Linked DNA regions of Nothobranchius furzeri. The main gene of each other region encodes a partner of the protein of the gene in region 3 in a complex. Links are inferred from orthologs where the notes say so. Each region holds a gene or a part of one and is shown on either strand. Other genes may lie near its edges.

Region 1 (7,773 bases), about 7.2 Mb from region 3:
ATTGAGTTTATTGGACTAGACGACCAGCCTTTTTCAGTTGTGGAAGACGCCGGATTCCGCCGACTACTAACCCACTTGGAACCTCGCTACATGCTACGGGGACGTAAATATTTTGCCGACGTAGCCCTTCCAGAGCTCCACCAGACAAGTGTATTCTTTCATCGAGGGACTCCTTAAAGAAAGCGTCTCATCCTCTGTGAGTTTCACAAGTGACATTTGGAGCTCAGATGTCAGTCCTGTGTCAATGCTGAGATAACAGCTCACTGGATGTATCTGAATGTATCCTTGGTTACTTAATTTGATTTAGGCGGTGATGTGAGATATTGACTTTTTTTGCACTATTTGTAGCCTACAGAGAGCCTTAATGTTTTCAATTTCTTATAAATTGTTACTGATATTACATAATTTGAAGTGAAGTAAAACCATGTTTTTTCTGAATTAATATGTAACATGCATTACAACTCACCATAGCTAAATGAACAATTTACAGCCAATCTATGTAATTGGTATCGGTAATCGGCTGATCGGCCATGATCAGCCTCTTGGCTGATCGGTATCAGTGATCGGCAGATTAAAACCTGATCGGAGCATCCCTAGTATCAGCCGATGTTAGTCATTTTTTAACATATCGGTATCGGCCTGATAAAAAAAAAAAAAAAAAAAACTGGGCCAATATTAACAACCAATGTTTTTTCCATCTCATCTCCATTTGTTTGCCCGTTTCAGAGGGTGAGGGGGTGATGTGTAATTGTTTAGTCACGCGACGGTGATTGTAATAATCTCAGAACCGTAAATGTGTGGGTTGTGTGTACATAACAATGTAAATTCAGTTTTAATCATTTTCATTTTATACAAAATCTGCTGATTTTAGAAGCATTAATGTCAGTATATAGGTATCAGCAAATATCGGTTATTGGCCATAACAGTGACCTTAACAGTGACAGCGGCTGCAGCGTAATCGTCTGTCTCTTATTAAGGGACACGGATAAGTTAAAAGGAGAGAGAAATAGAAGATAGAAGTTTTTGTTCCACTTTATTCTTTTGTTTCATGATGATAAACTGATGTTAAGTTCAGTAAAAAAAAAAAACTGGGAAGAAGCTTTGGTTCATTTTAGATTACAGGAGGTCTTGTTTCCCCTCTGCTACTCCAGAGACAGCATGGACATGAGGGTTACATGGTGAGGGTTACGCAGGACAAGTTAGTGGAAAGGTTGGTAGTTAGCTGGTTAGTGAAGGCAGGGTTTCCCTTACATAGGCGTAGCCGTGGCGGCCCGCCACGGCTGAAATCCCACCGCCACGCCTACAACATCCCAAGTGATGTTTTTTTTTTTTTGCGCCGTTTCCCGAAGAAGCAGCGGGAACTACTGTGTATTTACTGTGTAAATATCTGTAATCGTGCTGAATGAAATCCTCATTGGGTAACTGACTGTCTTCACGCTCTGTGATTGGCCAGTCAGATAGAGCGCCCGCCCCTCCCTACACACAAAACTGCAGCCGGGAGCTCAGTCAGCTCGGCCCAGGCATCAACGCACACACACAGACAGTAAAGCCGGGTGTACACTGTGCGACTTTTTCACTTTTTTGAGCAGATTTTCCACTCGTGCGAGAATCCACAAGATCGGGGCGAGTTTTGCGCCGAGCGTCGTGTAGTGTACAGGGGGTTACGAGAGGCGATTAACACCACGTGACCAGCTACCGATCAGCAATCGTGAGCTCGCACGGACTTCTGGAGTGTTTGATATTTATCTCGTTCCTCATGAGGGTTGAAGCGGCGCAGCGAGCAGCTGCAACCCAAAAAGTATCAGAACCGCTCACGGCGCATTCGCAATCCTGCATCAACTCCGCTCACCCGCTATTTCCCCAATAACACACGTTCGTTTTTATTTCTACACGTTTTTTTACTCACAATGATTGTCAAGAAAGTGTGTTTGTCGTGATCATGTCAAATTAAACTGATCACAAAACACAGATTTACTTTATTTCGTTTTCCTCATCCAACCCCCATAAATCCCTGTGTGTCCTCCTGCAGCACTCCTGAAGGACAACAGGCAAAACAAGACAAAAAAGTCTGACGTGTTGTGTAAAAACTGCTATTTTTAGCATATTTTAGGTCCGATGTGTTGCTACCAGATGTACAGTGAGCACATGACTCGTGAGATCTGCCCTGCGCTGAAGTCGTACAGTTTGAGCTGAAGCTGTGTTACGAGTGAAAAAGTCGCACAGTGTCCGCCCAGCTTATTATAATGTTCACTGTAATGCATCTTGATGTTCTTAACAAATAAATTAAATCAAAAATATTGGTCAATAATGCCAAATATGTAAATTTGTGTTTCAGTCATTTTTATACTGGCTTAAAAATACTTCATTAATTCTACTAAGCAGGGGTGTAGAACGCGTTTAAGAGGGCCAGCCCAGTAATGGTCTTGGACCAAAATAAAGGGGGCAGAAAGTCAAATAAAGGGGGAAAAAGAAGATGTTTTTCCAGACGCCAAGAAAAATTAAATGCCAAATCCACCCTGCAAAGTGTGTCACTGAGAGTTTAAAACAGAAATTATTCTTGTGCAAATATTGGTGTATTCACCTTTAATACTAGTTATTACACTGCAGCAGTCGCTGGACTGGTGCAGTTCAAAGTGGAGTGCATCAAATAAAACAATATTAACATAAAGGTGAGACGTGTCATAGTCCCCCCCCCCCCCCGCCAACACCACCTCCACCACAGCTGGAAAAATTCCTAGGGGAAACACTGTCCCTGATGATGTTAGCAGCTAACGAGGGGCAATTAGCTTAAAGAGGCGACTGTCCCCCTTTGTTCTCTGCCACGACGTGCTTCCTTTTAAGGCGTTCGTTCATCAGCATTATCTTCTTGTGAAAGAAGTCCTACTTTGCAGACTTTGCACTGTACATGCTTATTTTTGTAAAATGCTTTCAAACTTTGTGCTACATTGCAGGTCGCCATGTCTTGTTTTTCCGGTGATGCAATGGCTCACCCGAATGGCCGCTACTGCGCACGTGCCTCGAACAGAAAGACCGCAAGCAGCAGTGGTACTGCTGAAGCAGGTAAGATTAAAACAATGCGTAGAATAAACAACGTAGACTATTAAGTTTATTGATGACTATTTTGTTTGTTGATGTCATCATGACAAATCGACCAACCCTGGCAGGACAAGCTAACACTTTTAACCCTCCCACTGTCTTAATGGGTGACCCCACGAGGAAAGTTGACCGTTGAGCAGAATTGATTGTTTATCCCTTGAAGTCCACGTGGCAGTGGTGAGGTGGTGGTCACTAGTCGCCCATGCCACATGGACCCAAGGGATAAACCATCAACCCTGCTCAATGGTCAACTTTCCTCATGGGGTCACACCCATTAGGACAGTGGGAGGGTTAAGGTAAGGCAGACTGAAGCTTTCCCTGGAGCAAGCAGGAGGGAAGCCCCTAGCGCCGACCACCCCTAGCCCTCTGCTACTTGTCCATCAAAAGGACACGCCCCCAATCATTCATAATTTCAAGCTTTTATTACATCTAAACAGAAGAGTTACATAAATTCCCCCCCCCCCCCCATAAGCTGCACACACGTTGACTGTTAAAAAAAAGGTTGCACTACATGAAAAAAATAAATTAAAAAAGCTGCACAACACAACAAAGTGATGATGAACTGCATTGCTAATGCATTTCTTAATCAATTTTTTTCCCCAATTCGTTGTTGCAACAGTAGCTCAGGAGGTTGAGCTAGTTGATTAAATGAATGATCAAAACCTTTAACTGATACTCCAATTACATGAGTTAAACCTATCAGATAGTAGTTTCAACAGACATCTGCATATTAAAAGTTAAATTGAAACATCAGTCTGCACAAACACACAAAACATTACCTTTGTCATTTAAAGAAAAACTTTGCTCAGCTGGCTTGTGTCCTTTGGTGGAAATATTTTGACTTTCTTGATCGCGGGACTAAACTATTATTTTAGTTTTATTGTAACTATAGTACATCTGGAAAACTTTTGTTCTTTAACTCATGATTAAGTAGCACTAGTCTGATCTGAAAATCAGAATTTAGAATAAAGGTGAGGCTTGAAAGTTTAACTAGAATATTTTTAAAGTACAAAATCCATCAGTGACAAATTATTTCCAGTATATTATTAGATCAAAAGCACAAACTTCACGCATTAAAACGGAATTTGAGGCTTTATTCTTATTTAGTTTTTTCCGTCTGGAAAACTGATGGTTTCTTATCAGTGTAAACTTTTCATTCAAAAGCAGACTTTTGATTTTAAGACATCTAATAAATAGAAAATCCCAAACCTAATCGAATTGGGACTTTCAAACGTAACAAACTCACTTTTTGTGAATTTTCCTACACTACTCGAGCCCTCTCGGAGTGCTTTTATTCAAACTACAGAGCAAATTAGCAACGTTAGCATGATGAGCTAACTAGCTGCTTACTAAAACTTTAACGTTTGCGGGCGGGATGGGTTAGCAAATTCAAACACACCGATGGTAACTCAAGGGAAGTGGCTAAAATAAGTTTTGGGATAGACTGACTCTATTCAACCAGCCTGAGAGTTAGTCACAGCTTTGGTCCTCATGGAGAAACAGAAACAACGTTGGCCAGTAGCAACAAAGGAGCGATGAGGGGCTTTGTTCTAGCGAACAAGCTAACGCGTCAGCAGCAAACATGGAACGAGAACTCACCGGATACCCAGGCCCGGGCATCGGAGAGCGGTACATGTGGTTCTGCGCGGCTGACGAAGGCCCCATTCTTCCAGAGGGAGTACCGGGGCCCATACCTGGTCCTGCACCGGTTGCTGGCGGTCCAGGGCCCATTGCTCCACCGCCACCACCCGTCGGAGCAGATTGAAACCCCCCTCTGGCCGCCATCTCCTCTCTGAGTGTCGCCGCCGGTGGAAGCACGAAGCTAACGCGAGAACAAGCTCAATGGGGAGAGTTGGAGATGAAACAGCGCTATCTGCTGCTCACATCTGGTAACAAATAAATTAGCTTTTCTATTGAGATGCTGATGATAGTCTTTCAACCATCCATGAAGCCTGATAAATAAATAAATTAGAAGCGTTGTAGCCCAAAGTGGTGCAGAAAACAACTACATGCTTAATTTTGCATTTTTAAGCATACTAAAAACTTATTTTTATTGTTTTTGTATTTTAATTGGTGTGTTCAATTGATCCAAATGTTGTTTCTGGAGCTCTGAAAAAAGTGTCCACTATACAAATTTAGCATCATTTCAATTGCTTCCTGCAAGACCAAAAATTTAATAAAAACCCATTCTAACTTCGCTCACATATCTGTAACATCTATGACATCTACAAAGTCTGCAGAATATTTTTAAACCAAAACAACATATTCTGGAACTTTTACTGAAAATACCGTAAGAAAAGAGATTTTACTTTAAAGTAGAAGAAAAGCACAGATAAGAATGGTATTTTGAGTGATTTTGTCCCATTTGTCTCATAAAACTGAAATAAGCTGCATTAATTTACAAATTAATCACTTTGACATGCAACACATGAGCATCAGCAGATGCGTAACTTTTATTCAACGAGAAAATACATGCTGAAATGTGAAAAATATCAAAACATTACAGACTGCAGTAATTAGTTCTTTTTTAATTTTTATCAGAAGTTCATGAACTGCAAGTCGCACCATCTCCCTCTGTTTAGGAACATCACACAAATTATACACCACATCTCCTTTCATCACAGCAGGGGAACATAAATTAGTGAGCCAACTGCTTCCGTGTCTGAGAGGTGATCTGAATCTGCGGTGCCTCCATGAGGTTTTTCAGTTGACTCATGATCCTCTTTGAATGCTTGTTGATTGTATGCAGATGCAGAGATCCTAAGATGAGCAAAGTTTTAAATGTTTTGAGCTACGGTCCTGCAAAAATTCACAACAGTTTATGTATTTTTTCCCCCAACTTTTGATGATGTTACACTTTCTCTGTTCAGTATGGAGAATCGGCAGCACAAAACATGGGGCACCATTTGTTTGCATAATCTCTTTGTGTTGGATCAGAAACAGATTGCTGGCTGCCCGGGGGGGGGGGGGGGGGGGGGCATGTGTTTTTGGACATCTAAAAGCATCTACACTGTAATTATAATTTTCATTTTGGGCTTTATACCTTGGTGCACGAACAGGCTTATCCTACAGGCTTCTAAATGTGTTTAATAACAACTAATTGAAAAAATGGTCATTACTTAAACACACAAGAGGCCAAATGAGGCAGGCTGAAGTCTGACAGCTAATACGGCATCTTTCAGTGGTATCAAACTTGACTGCATGACAATAATTTATCCTCTTAATGAGCTGAATGTAAAGTGTAGCCCAGAGGAGCTGCCACAGCCTTATCAATGACAAACGGCTGAGCTCTCTAATTGCATGGAAAGATCTGACAGGATAAATTTATACCAGAAACGTGACTGATCGGTCACACAGGCGAAGCCGGATCAAAAATTAATTTCTGTACCGTACAGTCGCTAGTGAGCAGAAATCCAAAATAGCCCCAGTGCAAATGAAAAATCTCAGGGTCAGAAGTGGCTATTTTGGGTCAGCATAGCTCAAATTTAACAAGCAACTCCAGTATTTGGAGCAAAACTGCGAAATAAGTAGAATTTCAAATCAAATCAAATGGGATGCATCGTTTATGGGCTGAGAAAGACAAATCTGTGGACACTGGGAATATATATATATATATATATATATATATATATATATATATTATGGGTGGGACTCAATTAAAAAATATCTAATTAATCAGACATTTTGTAATTAATTAATCTTGATTAATCACATTTTAATCATTTAAGACAATTTGCCCCCCCAAAATTTATTTCATTAAAAATAAAATTAGTGAGCCATGGATAACATAGCCACTCTTTAACAAGCACATTTCTGTAATCACAAGATATATTTGACTACTTTTGTCTCACTATGAAGATAACAATTATGGGATTTTTTTTACAAAGCGTAAATGAACATGGCACATTGCAATGCTGTGTACAGAACTGAACACTAGGTGGCAGCAGATCACAGTTAATATAAATAGAGGTGTGGTGTAGAGTTCAGAGGAAGTTCTGCTGAGGGTCACAAGATGAATGCTGCATGTACGCTTGTCCCTCCTGCTGTAATAAGGTTCATGTGGATAAAGTCACTGCCTGTTTTCTACCTACTACAAAACATAACAATAAAGTTTCTTTTCTTCTTGAAGAGCAATTTGTCATGATTCATTTACTTGTAGTTTAAGTTGTGTTTAGAGCACATAAAAAAAGATTTATTTAGTTGCGTAGCCCAGGCTCAGCAGTTTTTACAGAGGTGTAGCTTAATTTATTGATATATAGGCCATAAGATTGGATGCTTAACTTTTTTGCTCCCCAAATGGAGGCTGCTCTGGCTCAAGTGGTAAATGTTTAACATATTAATTATTTCTAATTATTTAATCATAATTCCATCCAATATATATATATATATATATATATATATATATATATATATATATATATGTAAAATATATTATATATATATATATACACACACACATACAGAAAAGTGCAGTTCTAGGAACAGCTAAGATACTGCGCAGAGCCCTCAAGCTCCCAGGCCCCTAGAGGACCCGAGCTTGGATGGAAGAGATCACCCGCAGAGGGTAAGATGGGAATTTTATATTTTTATATATTTACATGCATTTAAGTAATTTTACCACTTTATTTCGTGCTAAATCCAAACATTTTCATGGCACTTGAAACCTCAAAGAAAAAA
Region 2 (7,904 bases), about 16 Mb from region 3:
CCTGCTAGGTTCCTGCGGCACGCGGTGGAGGTCAGGTACTCCTGAGGGTTCAGTCGGTAGGTGTCAATCATGAAGTTTCTGTATGCCAGATAACTAAAACGAGGAGAAATATTCCATAAATGATGTTTTAACTTCTAAACGTCTCGTGGACGGATCTGCAGCAGGAATGTGTTTAACACCGATGAATTACTCACATCTCAGGGGTTTTGGATTTGTTTTTCCCATTGAAAAACTCTGGCAAAGCTCTTCGCTCAATAGCATGAACACTGCAGACGAAAGGGTTTACAGTTAGTATGGTGAAGTATGGTGACACACTCACTGGAATACACACATTCTATTTATAGATCTAATATTTCATGCATGCCAGTACATTTATATAAACTAAGCAAAACAATGTTTTTACTTCCACTAAAGAGAATAAACCATTATTAGTATTTTTTGTAGCTTTGCAGCATTTTTTCAAACCCAAACTAGAAACTAGACAAACGAATGAGTTCCCTTACCTGTTGTAGTCGAACCAGGCAGCGTAGCTGGGTATGATGATGTGGTGAGTCTGCTCAGTCACGTTGTCCTCGTGAAAGTCGGAGCCCTTCACAGGTTCACCCTTTACACTCGGAGAGCCTTCCTCCTCCTCCTGATCAAACAATAAGCGTTAATTATCATTCGTTATTGTTGCGTTCACCTTTAAAGGCTTCCATACCTTTCCTGCGGTTTCCATGGACTCATCCTCCTGCTCATCTGTTCAAAAGTATACAAAAACATTTTAAAAACACTTACAGGAACATTATATGAGCCTTTCAACTATGTAAAAGGCTAGATCCTTTACTTTGGTGCTATTTTATCTGCTTTAGTGACACCTTTTAAAGAAAAAAAAAGATTTATAGATGTTTGAACAAACTCACCCATGTCTGTCCCTCCTTTGACAGGGGTTGAGTCAGAATCCTTCTTGGTGTTGTCTGCAATGTCAAACTTACTCATTTAGCACAAGAAGACTAAAAGAAACAATAAAACTCATTAAAACACAACACACTTAAGATTTATGAAGGAAATATGGACGTGTTAGTCTGTTCCCTACATATATATATTATTTTGTGTATTTTTTATTAATGCATACTGGTTTTAGCCATGTTTCCCTCTTCAGATGCTGGAACAGGCGATGGTTCGTCCAGGTCTTTGGACAGATCCTCCTGCTCCTCCTCCCTCTGGCCTCGTTTAGACTTGGTGTATGGGGTTGTGGGTCTGTTAACACAAACAACAACAAGGCTAGTTTTCAACAGCCAAACCAGCCGTGCCTCCTCGCAGTCAGAGGAGGAGAACATGTAAGCTGCAGGAGTTATAGCCCACCCTTTTTTGGTGTTCTTCTTTTTGCTCTCTTGTGGGGGAGGTGTGGGGGAGGGGGAGGGCGAGCGCTTCCTCTTCTTGGCACTGCCGGGCTTCTTGTCCCGCCGCTCATCTGGTGTGGTCACCTCATCCGTCAGCGTCTTAGCAGAGATCCTCTTCCTCTTGGGACAACCGTCTCCCACCTCGTAGTCCTCCTCGTTCATCCACTCGTTATACTGGTCCAGGTCCAGAATCCACTTGGCGTGGACCTGCCAGCAGAAACGTTTAGACGTTTTTCAGTGAGCAACTATTTAAAAACAAAACCTACAGTCACTTGGAGAGTTTATGTAAGTTTAGTCACGTCTTATTAGATTGTGAAGATTCAAACATTGGACATATTGTAGAATGAGCATGTGGTGATACCGCACTCTTAAAAAAGGAATGTATTCCCGACAACTACTGCTTTACTTAGTGCAAACACCACTGAAAAGGTGGGCACAGGCAATATATATATATACATATATATATATGTATATATATATATATATATATATATATATATATATATATATTTATATATATATACATATATATGTATGTATATACATATGTATATACATATATATATATATATATATATGTATATACATATATATATATATATATATATATATATATATATATATATATATATATATATGTATATACATATATATATATATATGTATATACATATATATATATATATATATATATATGTATATAGATACATACATATATATATATATATATATATATATATATATATATATATATATACGAGTAACTAATGATTAGAAATAAAACTAATAAAGACCTTCCTGGGCTTTTCTGGGCTCGGAGGATCCTCCACTGCAGCTTCAATCTCACTTGCAGGAATCCACGTGTCATAACTAAAAACAACAGAAGGGAACAAAATACACATCAAGGCTTGTGAGAATACCACACAAGGAGCAATGTGTAGGTTCAGTGAGCTCACAAAGAAGACCGTTTAGGACTCATTCAATGGTAAAAACGCGTGTGCCGCTGCTGTGTTTGAAGCGCCAAGTCAGAACCAACCTGTCTGGAAAATATCCCCAGTGGAGGAGGACCTGCTTGTCTCTCTTCATCACAGGACGCACCCACTCTTCTGGACCAACAAATATCATGTTGTATTAGAACTAAAGTGGAAAAGCAGCAGAATTCATAAGAAACCCGAGCTGAGCAACATAACAAGGCTTCACCTTCCTCCAGACTGGTGGGGATGGGAACCACAACGTGGGAGCTGGAAGCCTTGTCTTCAGTCACGGAGCCCTGCAGCACAAAAAGGCTGTGTGGATTATACATGCACAGCAGAATAACACTTTTGTTTAAAAAAAACTATGCAAAAACCAACCTGATGTCTTTTAATGATGTCTTTCAGTTTTCCAAGCAGCTTCGGTTCAATGTCAGAACTCAGGTAGATGATGGGTCGGCTCAGGCAGTTGTTCTACAAGAATCAAGGAGAACCAGCTCAAGTTGTAACTCTAGTTTTATGGTTCAAATCCTATAAATGAGCATTTAAGTGTGTCTGATTCAGAGAAAAGGCTGTCTTTTGTTATTTCTATCTTTAAATCTCACCACTCTGATTCTAAAGACACTTCCTAAACGTGATGTAAAAACAGGAGACAAGCAGCGTTCCCAGCACAGATAACCTATTTAGATCGGCTACTCGCAGAAACACAAAAGAAACAAAAACCTCAATGTTTAAATGTTTAGAATAAATCAGAAAAACCCCACAATTATCTGACAAAGATGAAAAACAATTATTACAGCATAACTGTCCAAGGAATGAGTTTTAAAAGCTTAACGGTGAATAAAATCAGTGAGAAAAACTCACCTGTACTAAAGATTTCTCAATTGTCATGAACATTTCCACATTTCGGTCCATCCTCGATGGATTCTGGAAGTCAAACCTGCGCCTACCAGGAAATTAAACTGGAGTTACACACAAAACAGCAGGACAGCCTAAATGCAGCAGAGCACTGCCACTTTTATTTCACTCAAGATGCATGATGAGACCAGTCAGAAAGAAGCTCTTACCATCCTTGGTCACTCTTGAACTTGTAGGCAGCAGCCAGAATGTGGCAGAGAGCCCCCCCTGATTTAAAGTCTAGAAAACACTTCATCTGCAGAAAGAAAATAAAACAGCTTCATATTACATCGCCTGAGGGCAAAGGGGTGAGTAATCTGTTAGAGAGAGGGGTGGGGGTAAATAAGTGTGACATACCGGCAGCTTAGTGAGGGGAGGGTTGCTGACATGTCTGCCAAACACCTCCTCCTGGAACTGGAGCAGCTGGACCACCAGGCTGGACAGGGATTTGTTGGTGGGGGGCTCGGCCTGGATGTACTGGGGAGATGGGAAAAACTTATGGGAACTCTGGAAGTTTCACTTTTATCACTATTCCTGTGTATGCATCTTTTATTTATGGGTGTAAATAATGTAGATGGATCTGTATGTTTATCAGTTTATATAGTATTATTGCTGGGTAAACTCAGTATATTTCTCATTCCTCGCTTCATATGGGTGTTTTATACATTAGCAACACTATATAAATAAAGCATTTATTCCATCGTCCTTTTGTGAATCCTATCTCATTAACTGTCTATTGCCTAAATCTCTGCATTCTTTTATACACATGAGCAGTGTTCACATATGTGTATTTGTTTGTTTCTTATTCTAGTCATTATTAAAGTGTGTTATTGTAACTGGATAATGGAGACTTCGGTGGACAAGGAAAACTAGATTTCTTTCGTAAAAAGCTTTAGATCTTTTTAAATAAAATGTGATTAATTCCACAATTATCCATCATTAATGAATGGATACTTGTGACTTTTTTGATCATTAACACCATGTTTTGTTAAATCTACGTGATAAAGCGCTGGTCAGTGTTATTTAACACCGCTCATGACTCCAGAGCCAGAGGCGCGCCACACAGCCAACATCTGGATGTGAGCCGCGTTACCGTTAGCCGATTAGCTTAGCTAGCCTGCTTTGCCAAAAATATCTCTTTTTCTAAACTCCGCTCCCTCCGGCGGGACTGTGTGGTGTCTTTGGATCCTTTTGGCTACAGCAAGACCTACAGACACCGACTTTTGCGGCCGCGTCTGATGTTGCGGTTGGCTCAGCATCCTTTTTTAGTGAATCAAACAGCTGGACGCTCAGCAGCACCCTCCCTCCTCTCTTTGTCACTGCCTCTGCCTCCATAGGTAAGCGCGTACGTTTCTGGGCAAAATAAGAAAGCTCCGTGAGCACGCTTATAAAACATGCGCTCAGTACCTTTTTGTAATTCTTGCCCAGCCAGACGCGGACATTATCAAACTGCGAAACGGTGTCAGATGCTTCGAAATATTTTACATTGGGGCCGCCGTCTTTCTTCCGCACCGCCATCTTTGCCTGCAGACTACCAGTCGGTGTTGGCTGCCTCCTGGCGGACAGAGGGCGTCTCTCCAATAGCTTGATAGCACAAAGCGCTGTGTCGACGGCAGACGAGCAGCAGGGGGCAGAGTTGTGCAGATAATAATTTATCCTGCAACATAGTTTAAAACCTGCTTTCAGCTTGTAAGAAAGTAGTTGCACAATTTACACTTTTTATAATCGTGATTTTATTAATAGGTGGAGCTGCGTTGATTTATTGCTGATAAAATACATTTGCACATACAGACTTGATCTGGAAGGGCATAAAACTGTGCATTTCATGTATGTTCCCATTTGTGCTTTTTTTATAGCCCATTTTATCCAGAAACCCAATAATAAAACAAATATAATTACTATATTCACACATACACAAACAATCCACTTACTTTTAGTCATTTTGAAATTTGTAGTAGCCATTTTTTCTATTATTTGTTGATAATTATAATTTTTTTCTCTTTGTTTCATTCAAAGTGTCAAAATATATATATATATACAAAAAACATACAAAAACATGCATAAACATGAACACCAAACAATTTGAATGAAAAGGGGCAGAAGGAAGAAATATCTTACATTATCTACCCCTATTGACAAACCAAACTTTTTAATAATGCTTCCATACAATTCTCAATAAACAACAAAACAAAACACAGATTCATTATATATTCTTGTAACTTACAGACCTAATCAGACACCAACTTAATTTAGGTTATTGTAGTTCTGTAATACACTTGATTTGATACATTTTTTTAATATATTTAGTGACTTTGATTCTTTTATGTCTTTGCTAAGGTTGTTCCATATTCTCAATTGCTTATTCTTGCTCACTTTAAATATATTTTTAAACATTTTCTAAGTGATTTTTTATATTTTTACAATTTTTTATAGTTTTTGTTTTTGTGAAGCGCCTCATGATTTTTATCTTGAGAGGCGCTATAGAAATGATATTTTCTTCTTCTTCTTCACGCCATTTACAGAGATAGTCATTTCTTTCATTCTGGTTCTAAATTTCGTTTTTTTAAATACTTCAGTTCCTTTAAGAAATAATTACTGACTCTTTTTTCAAACATTTTCTGAATGTTGGTGGGTAACGTATTGGTTTTAGCTTTATACATTGTTTGCAATATTTTCATTTTCACTAGATCATAAAATTTCATTAGTTTATATTTGATGAATAACGGATTGGATGGATCTCCATAGTGATTGTTATTAATGATTCTCAATGCTCTTTTCTGTAGAATAAAGAGTGGTTGTGTATGAGTTTTACATGTGGATCCCCATATTTCTACACAGTAATTCAAATATGGAACAATTAGTGAGTTATACTAAGTCAGCAATCAGAACTATTCAGTAAAAACTTAACTTTATGTAGTACTGCAATGGCTTTGGCAATTTTACCTCTGATATAACCTATGTGTGACTTCCAGGTGATAGCTTTATCAAACATGACTCCTAAAAATCTCATTTCTTTCACCCTTTGAATGTTCATTCCATTTATTTTTATTGTTACATCTTTGTTGACTCTGTCATCAAACAATATAAAATTTGTTTTATTAAGATTCAGTGAAAGTCTGTTTATGTCAAACCAGTTTTTAACTTTTATCAGTTCATCATTTAACACTCTAGCTACTTCATTAATATCCGACCCTGAATAGAACAATGTTGTGTCATCAGCAAATAAAACAGTACCGAGCAGCTTAGATACACTTACAAAATCATTAATAAATAGTATGAACAGTTTAGGTCCAAGGACCGATCCCTGTGGCACACCATAATCAATCTCTTGCAGTTCTGATTTAGTGTTGTTTAGTTGGACAAATAGTTTTCTATTCTCTAAATAACTTCTAACCCATTGATGCGTCACACCTCTTATTCCATACTGATGTAATTTCTGAAGTAACCTCGAGTGATCGATAACATCAAAAGCTTTCTTCAAGTCAACAAATTTACTGATGAAGTAGTTTTTATTGTCTATTGCTGTAGATATTTTGTCTATTAGTTCCATTATTGCCATTGCTGTTGAATGTTTGGTCCTAAAACCATACTGTTCATTATTTGAAATATTATTTTCTTCAATGAATTTATCCAACCTTGATACAAATACTTTTTCTATTATTATGGAAAACTGTGGAAGCAGTGACACTGGCCTGTAATTGGAGAAATTGTGTTTATCCCCACCCTTAAACAATGGAACCACCTTACCAATTTTCATTGTGTCAGGGAAAATTCCTGTTGAAAGTGACAGATTGCAGATATAAGTAAACGGGTCAATAACAGATTCTACTATAGCTTTTACAGTCATCATATCCAAGTCCTCATAATCAGTTGATTGTTTGTTTCCACAGTTTTTTACAATATTTGTTATTTCTACTTTTTCTACCTTGTCAAGGAAAATACTATTAACATTATAAACTACTGTCTTCAGTTTAACTTCTATTATTGGTTTGTTACCTGCCAAATTCGCACCTACATTTACAAAAAAGTCATTTATTCTCCTTGACAAAGTAATCAGGAATTACTGATTTTGTTTTATCTTTATTTGTCACACTATTTATTATCCCTCATGTAGCTTTTATGTTATCTTTATTCTTATTCAATAGTTCACCACAGTAATTCTTTTTTGTTTCCTAATTATCGTTATTTTATTTTAATATTTTTTATATTTGCCTTCAGCTTCTTTTGTTTGCAATTTTAAGAAACACCTATACAATTTATTTTTCTTTGCACAAGCATTTTTTATTCCTTTAGTCATACATGACTGGTTTTTCCTTTTACCATGACTTTTTATCAACTTACAATTTTTATTATATGATTCCATCAATAATTTCATAAAAGATATATATGCAGTATTGACATGACTGACATGTACTTCTTTCCAGTTTTGTTTATTAAGATCTTTTTTTTAGTGCTTCCAGTGCTTTAACAGACTTATTTATTTTGCAATTGATAGCAATATATTTATTTTACAAATGTTTATATTTAAATATAGCAAAACCAGGTAAATGGTCACTAATATCTGTCATCAGTATCCCACTCCTCATAACATCATACTTTTTGTTTGTGAAAATATTATCAAGGATCGTAGCACTGTGAGATGTGATTCTGGTTG
Region 3 (7,344 bases):
CGAAGCTACCAATATTTTTCAACAACTGGGCACCATTTAATTCAAATTTCAACAAAATTCTGATGGATATTTCCAAAGATTAACGTAAAAACTACACATTGTCACTTTGAATAAATGGAAACTTGACTTGGACTCATTTGTTCTAGCAAGATTCATGGTTCAGTGTGTGAAAAGGGGTCGATGATGCAAATGGTTGAAAAACATATGAGTGTAAAAAAGAAAAAACTCCAAAATATTAAATGGAAACTTAAAACAAAATGCATTCATGGTTAAAAAAATATGAATCATGCAACCGTGCAGTTTATGTAAAGACAATAATTAAAACGTAAATGGCATCAACAGAAGAAAAGAAGTGGTTTAGGAGTTTAAACAGGTTAGAAAATGAAAGGATTATGGTTCTAGTCCAGCTTCACTTCCCTGCTGTCTTGTAGTCAAACACTGGTTATGTCTCTCTGAGGGGTTACCTGACACAGGTGTGTGGTTTATCATTCCCATAGTGCTAGGCAAAGGCACCACCCCCATCAGCGCCCCTACGGGGGTACCTGCTCTGGGGGAACCGTGCTTGAAGAACGGCCTCTCGCGCTCCGACTGTTCCACTATTCGGGCTGCGCGCTCTGAAACGCAAAAAATCACTTCGCTTAAATTCACACAAAAAAATTGAATTTAGTCGTTGAATGACTTCAAGTCACCTTCGTAATCCGCTTTTTTGGAAGCCTCAAGGTTTCTCCACTCCGTTCCTACGAGTCGACTCAGCTCCCCAAAGGAGAAGTCGGGGTGTCGAGCTTTGATGACAGCTCGCATCTCGCTGCTGAACAGGATATACCCGCTCATGTTGATCTTCCGCTTGGCTCCTTCCTTCTTAGCTAAACCCTTCATCTTAGGGGTGGACTTCACGAGTGACAAAACACACACGTCGTATAGATTATAACAGAAGCAGTAGCTGTGTGGAACCGTTAAAAACAAGATTTCAGTTGGTCTCCGATACCTGAGAAGGCGTGTAGGACATCGCGTCCATGTCGTTGGAGAGAGGAGTTTGCACCTGAGGCAAAGAAGGTGTGGATGGAGCTTCCTCGTCATCCTCCATTTCTTCCATGTCATCATCGCCATCCTCCAGGTCTGCCAGCTTAACCTCGAGCTCGTCTATCTTCTTGTCCAAAATGGGTGACGCCTCCTTTTGCGGCACAATTAATTTCCTACAAATCGCACCCAAACAAAAGTAAAGACAAACCAGGATGGGGAGGGAAAAGATTCCGTTTTACGTCAAAAATAATCCCGTTCACACCTGAAGTAATAGATCTCATCTTCCACCACTTTGGAGGAATACGAGAAGCGTTTCAGGCCCTTGAACTTTTTCATTTGCTTCTCGGCTTCGATGTAACGACTCTCACACAGCAGGACGTCATCCTCAGAAAACTCGGTTGGTCTGCAGGACAGGTAGTCCTTAAAAGAGGAGACCACACATTTGCCTGTGGGCAGAATTGAGCTTAATTAAACTGTTGAAAGGATAAAATCTGTCATTTTAACTGAATCTGAGAAGCGGCACCCTACAGAGATCGTTTCACATCTGAGAAAACTCCCTTTAATTAGCTTTAAATGTCAGACCACTTCTTAACCTTATGCAACATTTAATGCTGGTTTTAATATACTAAGCCATCAAAAGGTTCCCAACACACACACACACACACACACACACACACACACACACACACACACACACACACACACACACACACACACACACACACACACACACACACACACACACACACACACACACACACACACACACACACACACACACACACACGTCATTATTTAATTAAAGAGAACGATTTAGTAATACCTATGACACAGGTCAGGGGCAAGGTCTCCTCCAGCTGACTCAGAAACACTTCTTTCTTGTAGAACATCTTTGTGGGTTCGTGCTCCGTTTCTTCAGGGTGAATGAAAATGGGTCCAAAGAAGAAGGTGGCTCCATTCTGGACCCACAGCTTCTCCATCCTGCAGAGCAACCAGAGGACGATCAAACCCAAAACAGCACCAGCACCGTTTTATTAAGTCCTCCTAACCCACCTGGCAACCCGAGGTTTGGACAGGCCGTGGGACCGGATGTAAACGAAGTCGCCCACTTTAAACCAGGAGCTGTTGAAGCGCAGCTGTTCATAGTGCTGGCAGCCAGGTTCTGACCCGCTCGTCTCCATCGGGACGTCTTCCTTCTCCTAAACGAATTCACATCACCACACAGGAGGAGTGTTTACATTTAGATACCCTCGAAACGTGCCACTCAGCTCTGTCAGGACTTGTATTCTACCAGATGATCATTTAATTAATACCCCGTAGTAATGGCAAAGTGACACCATTTGTCTTGAGCGATAAACCTCTAAGGATTGCAACTGTTAGTCTAGCAGTCCAGTTTTGCAGGACTTGTGGAGTTTAAGGTGCATCACCAGATACTTTTCTGGCTATTTGTGCAAGCTGCTCTTTGAATTAACACAACTCTGAGGTCCAACCCCCTTTCTCCCATCGGCCACGCCTCCAGAAGAAAAGAAGGCATAAGGTTCAGTTGGTCCATTTTCTGCCTTAATTCGTAGCATAACACACCTACATAACCATATACGACTACGTACGCTAGCTAAGTTAGTGTTGGGCAAAAAAAAAAAAGGAATTTTTAGCAATCTTGTTTGTTTTTAACTGTAAAATCACAGCAGCTCAGCGCCACAGACAGTCTGGGAAAACCTCAGAGGAGCAGCTTGATGGAAAGACCACGATCAAATCATGAAGAACAATGATTGGATGAGGATTTTCCAGGACCGTACCCTTCAGGGTAAATTAAAATGATTCATTTTTTGACAAAACGTTTAGATTATTAGTCGGCATTGGTGTGTGGAGCATTTCAAACAATATGGCTAAAGATGCTCCAGAAGAACATCTCCTGCTGCACCTCTGATAGTAGTTTATTTGTGACGTCTGGTATAATCCAACAAACAAAAAAATATTTTTTATTATCTTCAAGACTTCATTGAAAGTAAAAGTAGCTTAAGCTTGATTCCTATTGGATAAATACAAGTAAACAAAGACTAAAGGTCGATTAATCCATTTCTGTAAACATCAAACAGACCAACTATTATGTAACGTCACCTCACCTTGTCCACAAAACTGCCACCATCCGAGAATGAAAGCATCAACTTTTCCAGGTCCGGTTTGGCAAACATGGAAGCAACACGGACCACTGGAAGGGGAACCTCTCGCGGAACCATCTGCGCTGAACTCTCAGGCATGGCCCAGATCTTGATCTTCTTGAAGATCTTATTTCTGGCCGTGTAGCGTGACTCGCACACGAACACGTCCTCGGCTTTAAAACCTTCAGGCTGCATTCTGAAATAATCCTACAGAAACCAGAAAGAGGTTCGAATTCTCGTGTCTACAGAAAACAAGTCACTTACGTCGGGCGTTGAGTTTAAAGGAGAGTCTTGCCTTCACAAAAACCACAACACATCTGCCCAGAACTTTACTGAAGGACACTTTGTTGTAGTAGTCGCTCTTGAACACCTCCTTCTCCAGAAACTTGCGAGTGGCCAGGTGAAAAGTTTCACTGGGCCTGTAGAACCAGCAGCCATAGAGCCACTTCTCACCTTCAGACACACACAAAAAGTGATTTTATACAAAGCTTAAGACACAGATTTATAAGAGAGAAACAAACAGTTAACAGGTAAAGGCTCGGTTACCCGCTTCGTTCTCCCACAGACGCTCGATACAAACAATGTGAGGCTTCAGGTTGGGCTCCGACGGCTCCACATAAACGAAGTCTCCTACGTGGTAGGTGACGTTTTCAAAGCTGCAGACCTGCACGTAGACACGCTGAGACTCAGACTCAGGCTGCCACTCCTCTTCTGGCAACTCCTCTGCTTTCTTCTCTTCTAAAAGTGAGGAACGTGAAAGTTCAGCGACACGTGCGACACTCTCCACACCCAACGTTTTGTGCCAAATGTTTTCCAAACCTTTCTTCTCCTCCTCTAAATTCTTCTTATCCTCCTCGACCTCTCGGGGAATTTTCTCCCTCTTCTCCTGATCCACGTCGCTGTGCAGGTGCTTGACGGTGTAGTTGAGCGCGGAGGAGAGCAAAATCTCTCCGTTCTTACAAAGCTCGTCTCTGATCTTGATGAAAAACTGCTGAAGCTCCACAGCATCGTCAAACACCTCGGAGTCGGTCCTGCGAGCCCAGAGAAGACACAGAGGCACGTTTCACCGGCTCGCTTTGCAAGAGTTACGTTTTTCCAAGCTGATCTGGTAAATACATAAAGTATGTGATTATGTCGAAGCCTTACGCAATCACCACGTCTGCCTGCAGATCCTAATAGAGGTCGCTACCTTATTTTGGCGTCTAATTTGGCGTCGCTCAGAGACTTAGACCCGCTCCCGTGTATTTAAGACCCAGTTTTTATGGTTACGTGTAACAAAGCTGCCAGTATTTTCCAACATTTTGACGTATATTTCCAGAGATTAATGATAAAAACTACATATCGTCTCTTTAACTTTGTGCACTGTCAGTATTTATTATCCAGATGTTATTAGTGAACATACAACTGCATTTAAATTAAATGCTGTAGCAGCATCGGGCTGCCCGAAGATGTGCCTGATATATCAGGCCGATGTAAAGCCGATTCTATCGGTCTACCTTTAGATCCTATGACCAAAAACGTAGATAAACAAGCTGGAATACATCAAATAAAGGATTTTGTTATAATTAATGCACTATAAAAGTTTGGTAACCGTTTTCTGGATCCTATCAGCGAAACGACACTAAAGGCTGAGTTTGGATCTTCCTGTGTGTGAGCCAAGCTTCACTCGCTCTAGTGAAAATAAGACCGATTGTGGTAAGGTACTACAGTTTATAGCTATTCCATCTATCCTGTGTAAAATCTGTTTTCCATTCCCTAAGTTTTGTGTTTCTGTCTTTACTGAATAAAGAGCTTCTCAGATGAGCTTCCCTACCGGTGCAGCCTTCTTGCTTTCTCCAGCATCTCAAACACGTGCTCCTGGAAGACGTCCAGTCTCCTGTAGCGTCCTCGCTCCACGTTCATCCTGATTATATCGAAGTTGAGAGGCGGCTTTTCGGGGGCAGCTGGATCCACAGCTGGGACTTCAGCCAGCGAGTCACTGTAGCAGCGACCCTCCTCGTCCTGGTGACCCATCATGGACACAAACAGATTCCTGATGAGCTCTCGCACCAGGAGTCCCACAGCGGGAGGACCCGAATCCTCTCCTCGCTCCTGCTGCTTCCGTGTCTCCAGCAGCACTCGGTGTAACACCAGAGCATCCCGATAGATCAGAGACTCAGGCTCGTTGTAGACGCAGGCGTTGTGGAACATGAGGGCAAAGTCCTCCACCAAAGCGTCCACGTCTTGGTACCGGCCTGCCGCCAAATGGCTTCGCACGCGATCCATTTCGATTGGTCGCTTGATGGTGGCGTAGTAGTCGGGCAGCTCGGCGCGAGAGGGCAGACGGAGAAAGATCGTGCTCAAGCGCCGACCTCGGCTGTCGGTGAAGTTTCGCACGGCATCGTAGAGCTCGTTTAACTTCTGCTGGAGAGGAGTTAGGTATTTGGACTTCTTTGGAGAAACGCCACTTTTTCCTAAAAAGAGACAGAATTAAAAAAAAACAGATTCCAGACAAACCATTTTTAACAGCTACATAAAAGCTATGCAACGTGTGCGCGTAACGTGGTTTCAGATTTACAAAACCTTTTATTTGTTAGTTTGCTACAGTTAAACAGGAAATAACATTCTAATTATTTAAAACAAACATCCAGACTTGAGTAAACTCACTACACCAGTAACACTTACGGATTTTCGGTTTTGGTGATCCCACGTCCTCCTCCTCCGGTGGAGGTCCCAACTCCTTACGCTTGTCTTTTAAAATCTTCTCCAAAACATCTGCGTCATTATAAACCTGCAGAAACAAAAGCCGGGTGTCACATGGACTTCTTCTGAAATTCTTTTCGTTCATTTTTTTTCACAAAATAAAAGTCCCGCTGCCGACCTGAGACCCCTCCTCGTTGTAATGCCGGGCATTTCGGAACATCCGCTTCATGTCGTCCATGAGCGCCTCTTCTGTAGCGTAGCGTTCGTTACGAATGTTGTACTCAATAGTTTTAAGGTCCATCGGCTCCAGGATGACGTTATAATAGTCGGGGTAGTCCTTCTTGGATGGCTTCACCATGAAAAGATCACAGAGACGCCGACTGGACCCCACCTCCCTGGCATCAGTCACGGCAGCAAAGAGCGCTTTCATTCGATTCTTTTTTACATTTTTCTTGTGGCTGGACATAATAAATAAATAAATAAATAAATAAACAAATAAATAAATAAATAAGCAACACAAAAAGGCTTCATGGTTTCACTTCAAACCTTTTCTTCTTGACACTCCCCGCATCGGACGACAAAATGCTGTCTCCATCGTCTTCGTCCCTCCTCAGAAGCTCCCTCTTCTTCACCTTTAAAGAAAAAAAAAAAAACATAAAATAACTAAACCATTTAAAGAATTTAGAGACTGAATAATCAAAAACAAAATATTCCAGCAGATATTTAAAAAGTAAAAGTTTCCCTGTCCTCGCCTGCATTATCTGCTGCAACCTGAAGGCCCGTTTGTAGATGCTGGAGTTGGGCATGTTGTAGCGCTTTGCATTCTCAAACATCATTGATAGGTCCGCCTCCATCTGCTCCACGGTTTCATACTCGCCGCTCTTCATCCTTGCCCTGAAAGTCACAAAGGCATCTCAAACGTCTGAACTCTTTGATGAGTGGTTTAGTTTTGGGTTTTTTTAAAATACAACTCATTTTAAAGCAATTTCAAAGTGTTACTGTCACCTGATTTGTGTCAGGGAAATGGGCTGTTTGATCTGCTGATAGTAATCAGGATACTCTCGGCGAGATGGCAGCTGCTGAAAAGGTTCAGAGAAGACTTGTCCCTGGCTGTTTCTGGCACCCCTCACGGCTTCATACAGCTGGAAGATTGGGTTGCTCATCTCCATGCTTGAACTCTGGCTCTCAGCCTCCGACTCTCCCTCGTCATAGCAAACAGACCCTGGAAACATTTAAAGAAACCCGTATTTGTTAGCAGACGAGCACGATTTCTCCTTTTTTAAAGACTATTGTGATAATAGAGACGTACCTGAAAGCACAGGGTCATCCTCGCTCTCTGAACCGTACTGAGCAGCGACACCGACACCAGAAATCCGATCCTGTCCGGATCGCCGATTTCTGAGGAACACGAACCACATCTACAACAGTCCTTGTTTGGACAAAAACTAGGGATGTCCCGATCCGATCACATGATCGGAAATCG
Region 4 (7,344 bases), on a different chromosome or scaffold from region 3:
ATCCCCAAAACTTGCTCCAGCTCCTGCCTTCTCTGCTGCACCTGAAACGGAGAAGGAGTACCTCTGGTTCAGATACAGATGACTAAAATGTGCTGTTCTGAGCTCTGGGATCTGTCTTCACTTACTTTGGAGTAAACGTATCTGCCCACTGCTTCTGGGACCCAGGGCGCCTCGTAGAACTCGGTCCTCCTCTCCTCCTCTGGGTTTCCGCTCACGTCTGTCATCAGCTGATTCAACAGAAATGCAACAGTGAACACAACAACACCAACAAGATGCCCCAAACATGCCTTTCATTTTCTTATCTACAACTGCATCTTGCTGAGATGTTGCTTAAGGCTCAGGAGGTTTGTAAAGCTACAGGAACACAGAACAAAGCTGTGGCTTCTGAACGAACCATGAACCATGTCAGGTGAGGGAGGACAGCTTTGACTTCTTAAACAAATTTAAAAAAAACAAGGTGGGGTGAAATCTGTGTTGACAGGAACCCAGACATGTAGATCCTTCTGATCTGATCATTTCTAACTGCTGGCTGGAACATTTATCTTTAGACGTGTTTCGGCTCGCTTTAGGAGATCAACCCTCCACCACCTGCAGCAGAATGCTTCCTGATTAGCTCTCTGAGCACATGCCGGCAACAAGGTGCATCCGTTTACTGGCTAAATATGTTAGAATGAGTTCTGTGCTATTGTGTCACATTATATAATGTAAACAAACGTAAGAATGCTGTAATCCCCATAATGAATATCACCTTAAGCAACATTTAATGATGAGTAAACACTGCAGATTCCAGTGGGACAGATTTGAACTCTTATGGCGAAGGAGTAAAAAAACAAACCCAATAAAACCTGACTTCCAGGTTAAGGAGAATGTTCAGAAAACTAAAATATTTTTGCCGTCTAAGCCGTAAAGGAAATCTAAACGAGTCAAGATCTAAACACTTGATTTAATCAGATAAAAAAAAACATAGGAACTTCATTTTACCCTGTCTCTGCTATTTAACTCAACTTCATTTCATTTTATTTAGTTTGTCCTGAAATGAGGGACTAAAATAAGACAAAAGAGTCACGATAACATGGTAGTTGCAGCAGACATTTCTTTACCTTCAGATCTCTGCTCTGAGACTTCAGCCAGTCTTTGATGAACTCTTGTGGATTATTGCTGAAGCTCAGCATGAAGTCTCTCTCAGTCTTGAGCTGGTTGATGTACTCAATTGTTTCATGAATCTGAACATAAACAACAAAGGAAGACGTTTCAGGTTTCTACAGGCTCGTTTCATTTTAGTATGAATCCAGATTAGACCCGACCTTCATCTCAAGAGTAGCGATTTCCTGTTGGTTGGTGGTGGAGGACAGAAAACTGTTCATCTGAGCTTTCAGAGGGTCGTCCACCTCCACGTCAATATCATAGCAGGCTGTTTTCTTCTGGTCTGTGGGATCCACGCTGCTCAGGGAACAAAGGAGTTGGTGGTGACTACAGGACGGGTTTATACCTTATCTCAGCTCAGAACCAAATAGAAAGTGTTTCTAAGGTTCTACGTACATCTGTGTTTATTAACTGTAGGAGCAGCTATGAACCTTATTCACCAAGTGTGGTGACACTGTGTGTCTGAAAGCAGAGATTGTCTGAAGCTGTAAGATGAGACCCTACCTGATGATGTGGTTGATAATAATAGGGTCAGGATGCTGCAGCAGGCCCGCCAGCTTCATGGGGATCTCACTGAACCTCATGCGTGGACAGCTGAAGATCTGAACACAATTTTATTAAACCGCATTAGCACTTAAGACAGGTGATGTTAAAAAACACTGATAACTAATCCATCAGAGTTCATATCCAGCCCTCTAAAGCTAAGACCAGGACTACATGAGTCCTGTTTCCATTTTAGGAGTTTAGGGGACGGGGAGAGCAGCTGTGTGAAGTAAAAAGTGCCGTTCAATGACCAGAAGAAGCTGTTTTTGACAAAGCAGTGTGGATAATGGCGTTGTGGGGGATTTCCACTGCATTATATGCGTTGAACCTTCAGAAACTGCAATTTCAAAGCAGCATTAATGCTGTTTGCTTTCTTTCACTTCCACTCATCTTCACCAACAACTCTTCCCATTTTTGAAAAGGCCAGTTATTTGGCGAATACAACCAATCAGCGTGAGTTAAAAACAAGCCCGCTCAGCGGCTCTACCAGCCGAGTACCTACCCCAGCTCAGGTATCTGAAATGGCCCAGAAAATGGTCCTATCTGGCCAGCCTGGTGAAATGGAGACACGCGCATGACACAAAGGTCTGGTCAAACTACTTGGAAGTTCCAATAATGTAAACGTGTCTACTGTAATGGTTAGATGGGACTGGAGGGCATATGCCAGTGGATCAGAACTGGTTTAGTGGGACAAAGTGAGGTCATAATGTAGCTGATCAGTTATTAGTTGGATGGTGTCAACTATTTATTTCAAGATTTGATTTATTGGTGTTTTAACATCAATTTGTTGTAAAACTTAAACTGTGCTCATTGATACATTTAAGATATTTACATTGGATAGAAAACAAAACAAGCAAAACTTCATTTCTATGATGCCAGCATGTCTCATTCCCTTCCCAGTGGGAGCTTACCTGTCTGAAATAGCGGTTACAGTTGATGTACTCCTTCTCATGACTGTCCTGCAGCTTGTTGTTCTTGATATAGAGCCAGAGAGCTTGCATGATGCTGGCCCGAGTCTGCGTATGCACGCCCAGGAGACGGGCCAATCGTGGGTCCAGTTTGTACTGAGGGGGCTGACAAAAGGTTTAAAGTTGGAACAAGGTTAGCTTAGTGAAATCGTCAAATAATGCAGATGGTTTAGAACAGTGTTATTAGCAGGGAGGTACCTGGTGGTCCAGCATGAGCAGAAGAGTGCATTTGACGTTCACGTCTCCGGGTCTTTTGACCTGGAAACCGTCTGTCTCCTGAGTGGTGGGCATTCTATGCCACTGGAGAAGAAACCAATAAAAACACACCTTTAAATGCCATCTTCATGTCAAGTTTTAAATTAAAACCATCTTGTGCCGAGAAACGATGGAAGTTTTAGTCATTTTGGTCAAGTCCTGAAAATAGAACTGTGTGTGAGCTCACACAGCATCCTAACCCTAACCAACAGTGTTCGGGGCTGTTTCACGCCTCCTCCTGTCATACCTCTACTAAGTGGTTGTCAGGTCCATAAAGCTCCTTATCCAGCTCAATCACAAGACTTTTGAAGAAAGAGGAGAACTTTCTTTTCTGCTTTCCAGGCTGAAAACACAGAAAACACGAAAATACAACAGACAGAGAAACACATAACCATGAGTGTTCCCTTGCTGTGCAGAGTTCGTCTGGGGCTGCATTGTTTAGCTCTGACCACATCAGGGGTGAGGAACCAAACTGTTGAGTAGAAAAAGCTGTTGCACCCCCCACCCCCCCGCGGCCCTGTCAAAGTCTGTTTGCTCAATGCGACCTCCTTCACTCCTTCCCCTTTTCTTTTTGCCTCTGCTCCATGTGGAGCTCCTACACATGCTCAAACCCAACGAGCAGGAGGGAAAAAATTAGCAGGAAAAAAAGAAGAAGAAAACATCCATCTTCCGTGGCCCCAGATGACACAATGAGCTGAGCTGGAATTGATGGAGGGAGGGGAGGAATATCAGCTCATGGTATGCAACGGCCAGTGGTTTCAATTCTCTATTTCAACATGAGCTTGTGTGTGTGTGTTGCAAACACACATCTGGCTGTGTGGTCTGAGCCAAGGACACAGGCCAACTGAAGTTTACAGAAAAACAACAGGCTGAAACATTTGGGGCCAGAAGACATTGAGACGATTGTGAGACAAAGCAAGAACATTCAGACGCCCTCTTACCTCCTCCAGGAGTTTGCCTTCCACTCTCAGCTCCCACGAGGACACTTTCTCTGCCTCCTCGCCGTCAGGTTTGCTGGGAGTGAAAGTGTTGGAAATGTAGATCCTAAGCTTTCGCTTTTGCTGAGTCATGCAAAAAATAAAAAAAAATAAATAAAATAAAAACATTTCATTTAGAACAAAACATTTCAGTCAAATTGTTGTTCACCTGAGAAGATATAATCATTTGCAGTCACAGGCTACCTAATATTTTAAACACTTTGCCCAAATTAAAGTTTTTTTGCAGTCATGAATGTTTCTGCTGTAGTTTTTTTTTTCACATGAAAAGAGAAAGTTGGTGCAGATTCTTTCATTCCTAAGTCAAGAAAAACTTGTTGAACTTCTTTATCAGTGCTGACAGAGGCCATCCAGTCACCTTCACTGCATCTGACCCAATCTGAGCAGATTATTTTATGTCACACGTTTATCAGGCTGCTTCTGCCTCCTGTCGCATCATCCGCTAACAGCCGCAGCTAAGAACAACCATTGTATCACACTGACTCCACGTGTTTAACTCTGAATCATGAAAGTTTCTCAATTCTCTCAGATTTCCTGAAGTTCATCTCAGTTTCATTTTTCCAAAGTGAATTGTAGCTAATTTCCAAATTAACTTTTTTCTAGTAGAAGCAGAATAAGTCTTTATTCGTCCCTCTGCAGGGAAACCTTTAAAAAGAATCTGCATTGGCAGGGAATCAAACCCAGGTCAACTGCTTGGAAGGCAGCTATGATAACCACTATACCACCAACACCTAATGTTTGCACATTCCAGATGTTTCAATTCACTGTGAAAAGTCAACCCTGCTCAGTTATTTTTTCTTCAAGAGGTGGATCTGACAGCAGTTGCTGAGCTCACTGGCATGTCCTTTCTTTTTAGAACAGATTCAATAGTTGATCTGTCCACCCTTCATCCTTGTGCCTGTGCTGGTTTTGTCTTCATAAACCGGGGTGTCTCTCCTGACATATCCACCTTATTCCTGGGCTCCCTCATGTAGAAACGATGATGTGTGCAACATCTGGTGAGATACCAGAAGCAGCTCATAGCCACTGGATTGCGTGGTGAGGTTTTGAATCTTTTAGCAGTTTATCTGGACATTCCAAGGGAATCTTAATCACCATTTCCCCACGAAAATGTACTCCCACAGTTTGGGAACATGTTGAAAGTTCCATTTGTGGCTACAAGAGCTACAAGTTTGTAACATCCACTCCACTTCGCTGCACAGTGGTCCCTTGTTAATCAAAGGAGTTACGTTCTAAAAATAACCTGCAGAAAAATGTTTAAAAGAAACCTGCGTTGGCCGGGAATCGAACCCGGGTCAACTGCTTGGAAGGCAGCTATGCTAACCACTATACCACCAACGCCTGATGTCAGCCTATTCCAGATGTTTCTCTTTGCTGTGAAAAGTCAACCCTGCTCAGTTTCTTTCAGGTTGCTGTAAAGTATCTCTTGGTAATCACTGGAGTGACATTCTAAAAATAACCAGCAATTGGGGAAATCTGCAAAATAGTTAGCTTCATTTTTTACAATGATTATAGATGTTTGTAACGTACGCAGCTACTATTGGGGTCCCACACACAAAAACACACCAGAATGTCTGTTTCTCAACAGTTTTATTTCTAGCACGCATGCATGTTTTACACTAACGGCAGCGTTTCAGGCTCTCGTTGTAGAGATTTGCGTCTCTTCCTCCTGCATATAAAGCTGCAGGAACGCTGATTACTAATGTGCTCCAGTCATGGCACAGCGCGCTCCCGCTGACACAGCCACTATCCTCTCCACCGCAGACGTGCTCGTCCCAGCACAACTCTGCAATGTTTTAAGGCAGTAAAACCCCTCACTACACACTTTGTACACTTCAGACAGGCATTAACATTTTCACACCTTTCTCTCTTGTTTAAATACTGTCAAAGTTCAAACCTTGGTACCTTTGGATGCAGAACACAATTCCTTGTTAAAAAAATACATGCAAAATTGCACAAAACAAAATTTGCAAAATTGCGAGACTGCAGATCGTGAACCACGTTATAGCGAGGGACCACTGTACATCAATGGAGGACCCGGTCTTGTATTTCACCTGATGTAGAAAACTAAAACCCAGGCTTAATGATGAGGGATTTAAGGCTTTGACTTGACTTTATGTCTGCTTTTAAGTAAATAAGATTGTGTCCCACTTATTTCAACAAAACATGACCAAGTATATTACGATGAAGCGACTGATAAGCCTCGGAGCTTTAAAGATTGTTCTTTGCCTCACCATTGGATGAGACAGAGTTAATAAAGTGGCTAAAAATGCTACTGTGCGTTAGCTTTGACCAGATTTCCATACCATCCTACATCCCTCTGTTGCAGTAGTCAGGGGGTTGTAACGACATCCCATTTGAGCTATGACAGCTGGTGTTCCCATATAATGTAGGTCTCTAAAAATCTCCTAAAATGTGAACTACCAGGAACAGATGGCATCATCCATCTATGATTCCTAATAAACACCAGACTGGAGGTCAGTTGCAAATTTTACGCAAGGGCTCATGAGGGGTAAGGCAGATATCGATAAAAGTGTTCTTTTCCTGCAGCACAAACAACCTCATAAAGGATGCTAACCTATCATATGGTTCATCACCCTAGACCAGTGGTTCCCAAACTTATTTAGCCGCGCACCCCCTTCTATGTCCCGACCATGTCGATGCACCCCCCCCCCCCACACACACACACACACATATCGGGGCATGGCTCTCTCTCTCTCTCTCTCTCTCTCTCTCTCTCTCTCTCTCTCTCTCTCTCTCTCTCTCTATATATATATATATATATATATATATATATATATATATATATATATATATATATATATCAGATGTCAAGCTAAACAGACAGGGTTAAAAAAATTCCCCATCACTTTCATTTTTTAAATAGTAAATACTAAACATTCGATACCATTACAATTTCCTTTGATTTCATTTTAAATAAATATTTAGAGTGCCCAGGTAGCACATAAATAATGCAATTTAACGGTTTTCTTAAAGTAGGAACGTTTAACCTGTGCGGCCAGAGCGCTCTCCTTCCTTCTGCTCTGCGTAAACCTGAGCTGATCACCTACTTGTGCGTAATCAAATGTCAATAGGGGACAAGATATAGCCATGATGTTCACTTTTACCTCAGACCGACTTATTGCTGTTTTATGGTGTGGCTGAATCTGCGATCCGCTGCCATGCGGACTGGAATAGCAAATGCTGCAGTAACAGGACTTGTGGTCAGGTTCATGAGGAGTCACTGGCTGTAGCGGACCCGACTCATCCCAGAAGCTAATATCTTAATTGACCTTGAATGAAAAATAACCTCTTAAAAGTTTTTATCGTGGTGGAGGCAGCGTTCATTTCTGCCTTCAGTCTGACGGCGCGCCAGAGTTAAAGCAGCGTGCGTGCTTATTGAATCTGTGTGTGTGCGCGCGTCTCGTTATTGGCGCTAT

What was found.
Region 1: pbrm1l (region 3) and smarcd1 share a complex: the UniProt entries of both Homo sapiens proteins name them as parts of the SWI/SNF-B (PBAF) chromatin remodeling complex. The link is inferred for Nothobranchius furzeri from reciprocal best matches to the Homo sapiens genes PBRM1 and SMARCD1.
Region 2: pbrm1l (region 3) and smarcc2 share a complex: the UniProt entries of both Homo sapiens proteins name them as parts of the SWI/SNF-B (PBAF) chromatin remodeling complex. The link is inferred for Nothobranchius furzeri from reciprocal best matches to the Homo sapiens genes PBRM1 and SMARCC2.
Region 4: pbrm1l (region 3) and smarcd2 share a complex: the UniProt entries of both Homo sapiens proteins name them as parts of the SWI/SNF-B (PBAF) chromatin remodeling complex. The link is inferred for Nothobranchius furzeri from reciprocal best matches to the Homo sapiens genes PBRM1 and SMARCD2.

What each region holds. Positions count from the first base shown.
Region 1 is NC_091743.1:58,865,455-58,873,227, forward strand, and holds the start of smarcd1 (SWI/SNF-related matrix-associated actin-dependent regulator of chromatin subfamily D member 1), read right to left. Parts: upstream 4,925-7,773; 5' UTR 4,882-4,924; coding exon 4,696-4,881; intron 1-4,695. UniProt on the Homo sapiens protein: Involved in transcriptional activation and repression of select genes by chromatin remodeling (alteration of DNA-nucleosome topology).
Region 2 is NC_091743.1:50,344,365-50,352,268, reverse strand, and holds the start of smarcc2 (SWI/SNF complex subunit SMARCC2), read right to left. Parts: upstream 4,818-7,904; 5' UTR 4,769-4,817; coding exon 4,658-4,768; intron 3,728-4,657; coding exon 3,608-3,727; intron 3,507-3,607; coding exon 3,421-3,506; intron 3,300-3,420; coding exon 3,218-3,299; intron 2,828-3,217; coding exon 2,735-2,827; intron 2,653-2,734; coding exon 2,583-2,652; intron 2,489-2,582; coding exon 2,419-2,488; intron 2,253-2,418; coding exon 2,177-2,252; intron 1,590-2,176; coding exon 1,345-1,589; intron 1,240-1,344; coding exon 1,115-1,239; intron 957-1,114; coding exon 903-956; intron 739-902; coding exon 701-738; intron 635-700; coding exon 504-634; intron 267-503; coding exon 195-266; intron 94-194; coding exon 1-93. UniProt on the Homo sapiens protein: Involved in transcriptional activation and repression of select genes by chromatin remodeling (alteration of DNA-nucleosome topology).
Region 3 is NC_091743.1:66,060,907-66,068,250, forward strand, and holds part of pbrm1l (polybromo 1, like), read right to left. Parts: intron 7,260-7,344; coding exon 7,171-7,259; intron 7,084-7,170; coding exon 6,867-7,083; intron 6,756-6,866; coding exon 6,614-6,755; intron 6,494-6,613; coding exon 6,408-6,493; intron 6,320-6,407; coding exon 6,040-6,319; intron 5,950-6,039; coding exon 5,844-5,949; intron 5,633-5,843; coding exon 4,993-5,632; intron 4,211-4,992; coding exon 3,999-4,210; intron 3,918-3,998; coding exon 3,726-3,917; intron 3,633-3,725; coding exon 3,475-3,632; intron 3,387-3,474; coding exon 3,144-3,386; intron 2,220-3,143; coding exon 2,074-2,219; intron 2,002-2,073; coding exon 1,844-2,001; intron 1,467-1,843; coding exon 1,283-1,466; intron 1,194-1,282; coding exon 986-1,193; intron 889-985; coding exon 690-888; intron 615-689; coding exon 465-614; intron 1-464. UniProt on the Homo sapiens protein: Involved in transcriptional activation and repression of select genes by chromatin remodeling (alteration of DNA-nucleosome topology). Required for the stability of the SWI/SNF chromatin remodeling complex SWI/SNF-B (PBAF).
Region 4 is NC_091756.1:35,527,326-35,534,669, reverse strand, and holds part of smarcd2 (SWI/SNF-related matrix-associated actin-dependent regulator of chromatin subfamily D member 2), read right to left. Parts: intron 5,246-7,344; exon of another isoform or gene 5,174-5,245; intron 3,971-5,173; coding exon 3,851-3,970; intron 3,253-3,850; coding exon 3,157-3,252; intron 2,955-3,156; coding exon 2,853-2,954; intron 2,760-2,852; coding exon 2,598-2,759; intron 1,746-2,597; coding exon 1,648-1,745; intron 1,441-1,647; coding exon 1,305-1,440; intron 1,224-1,304; coding exon 1,101-1,223; intron 228-1,100; coding exon 126-227; intron 42-125; coding exon 1-41. UniProt on the Homo sapiens protein: Involved in transcriptional activation and repression of select genes by chromatin remodeling (alteration of DNA-nucleosome topology).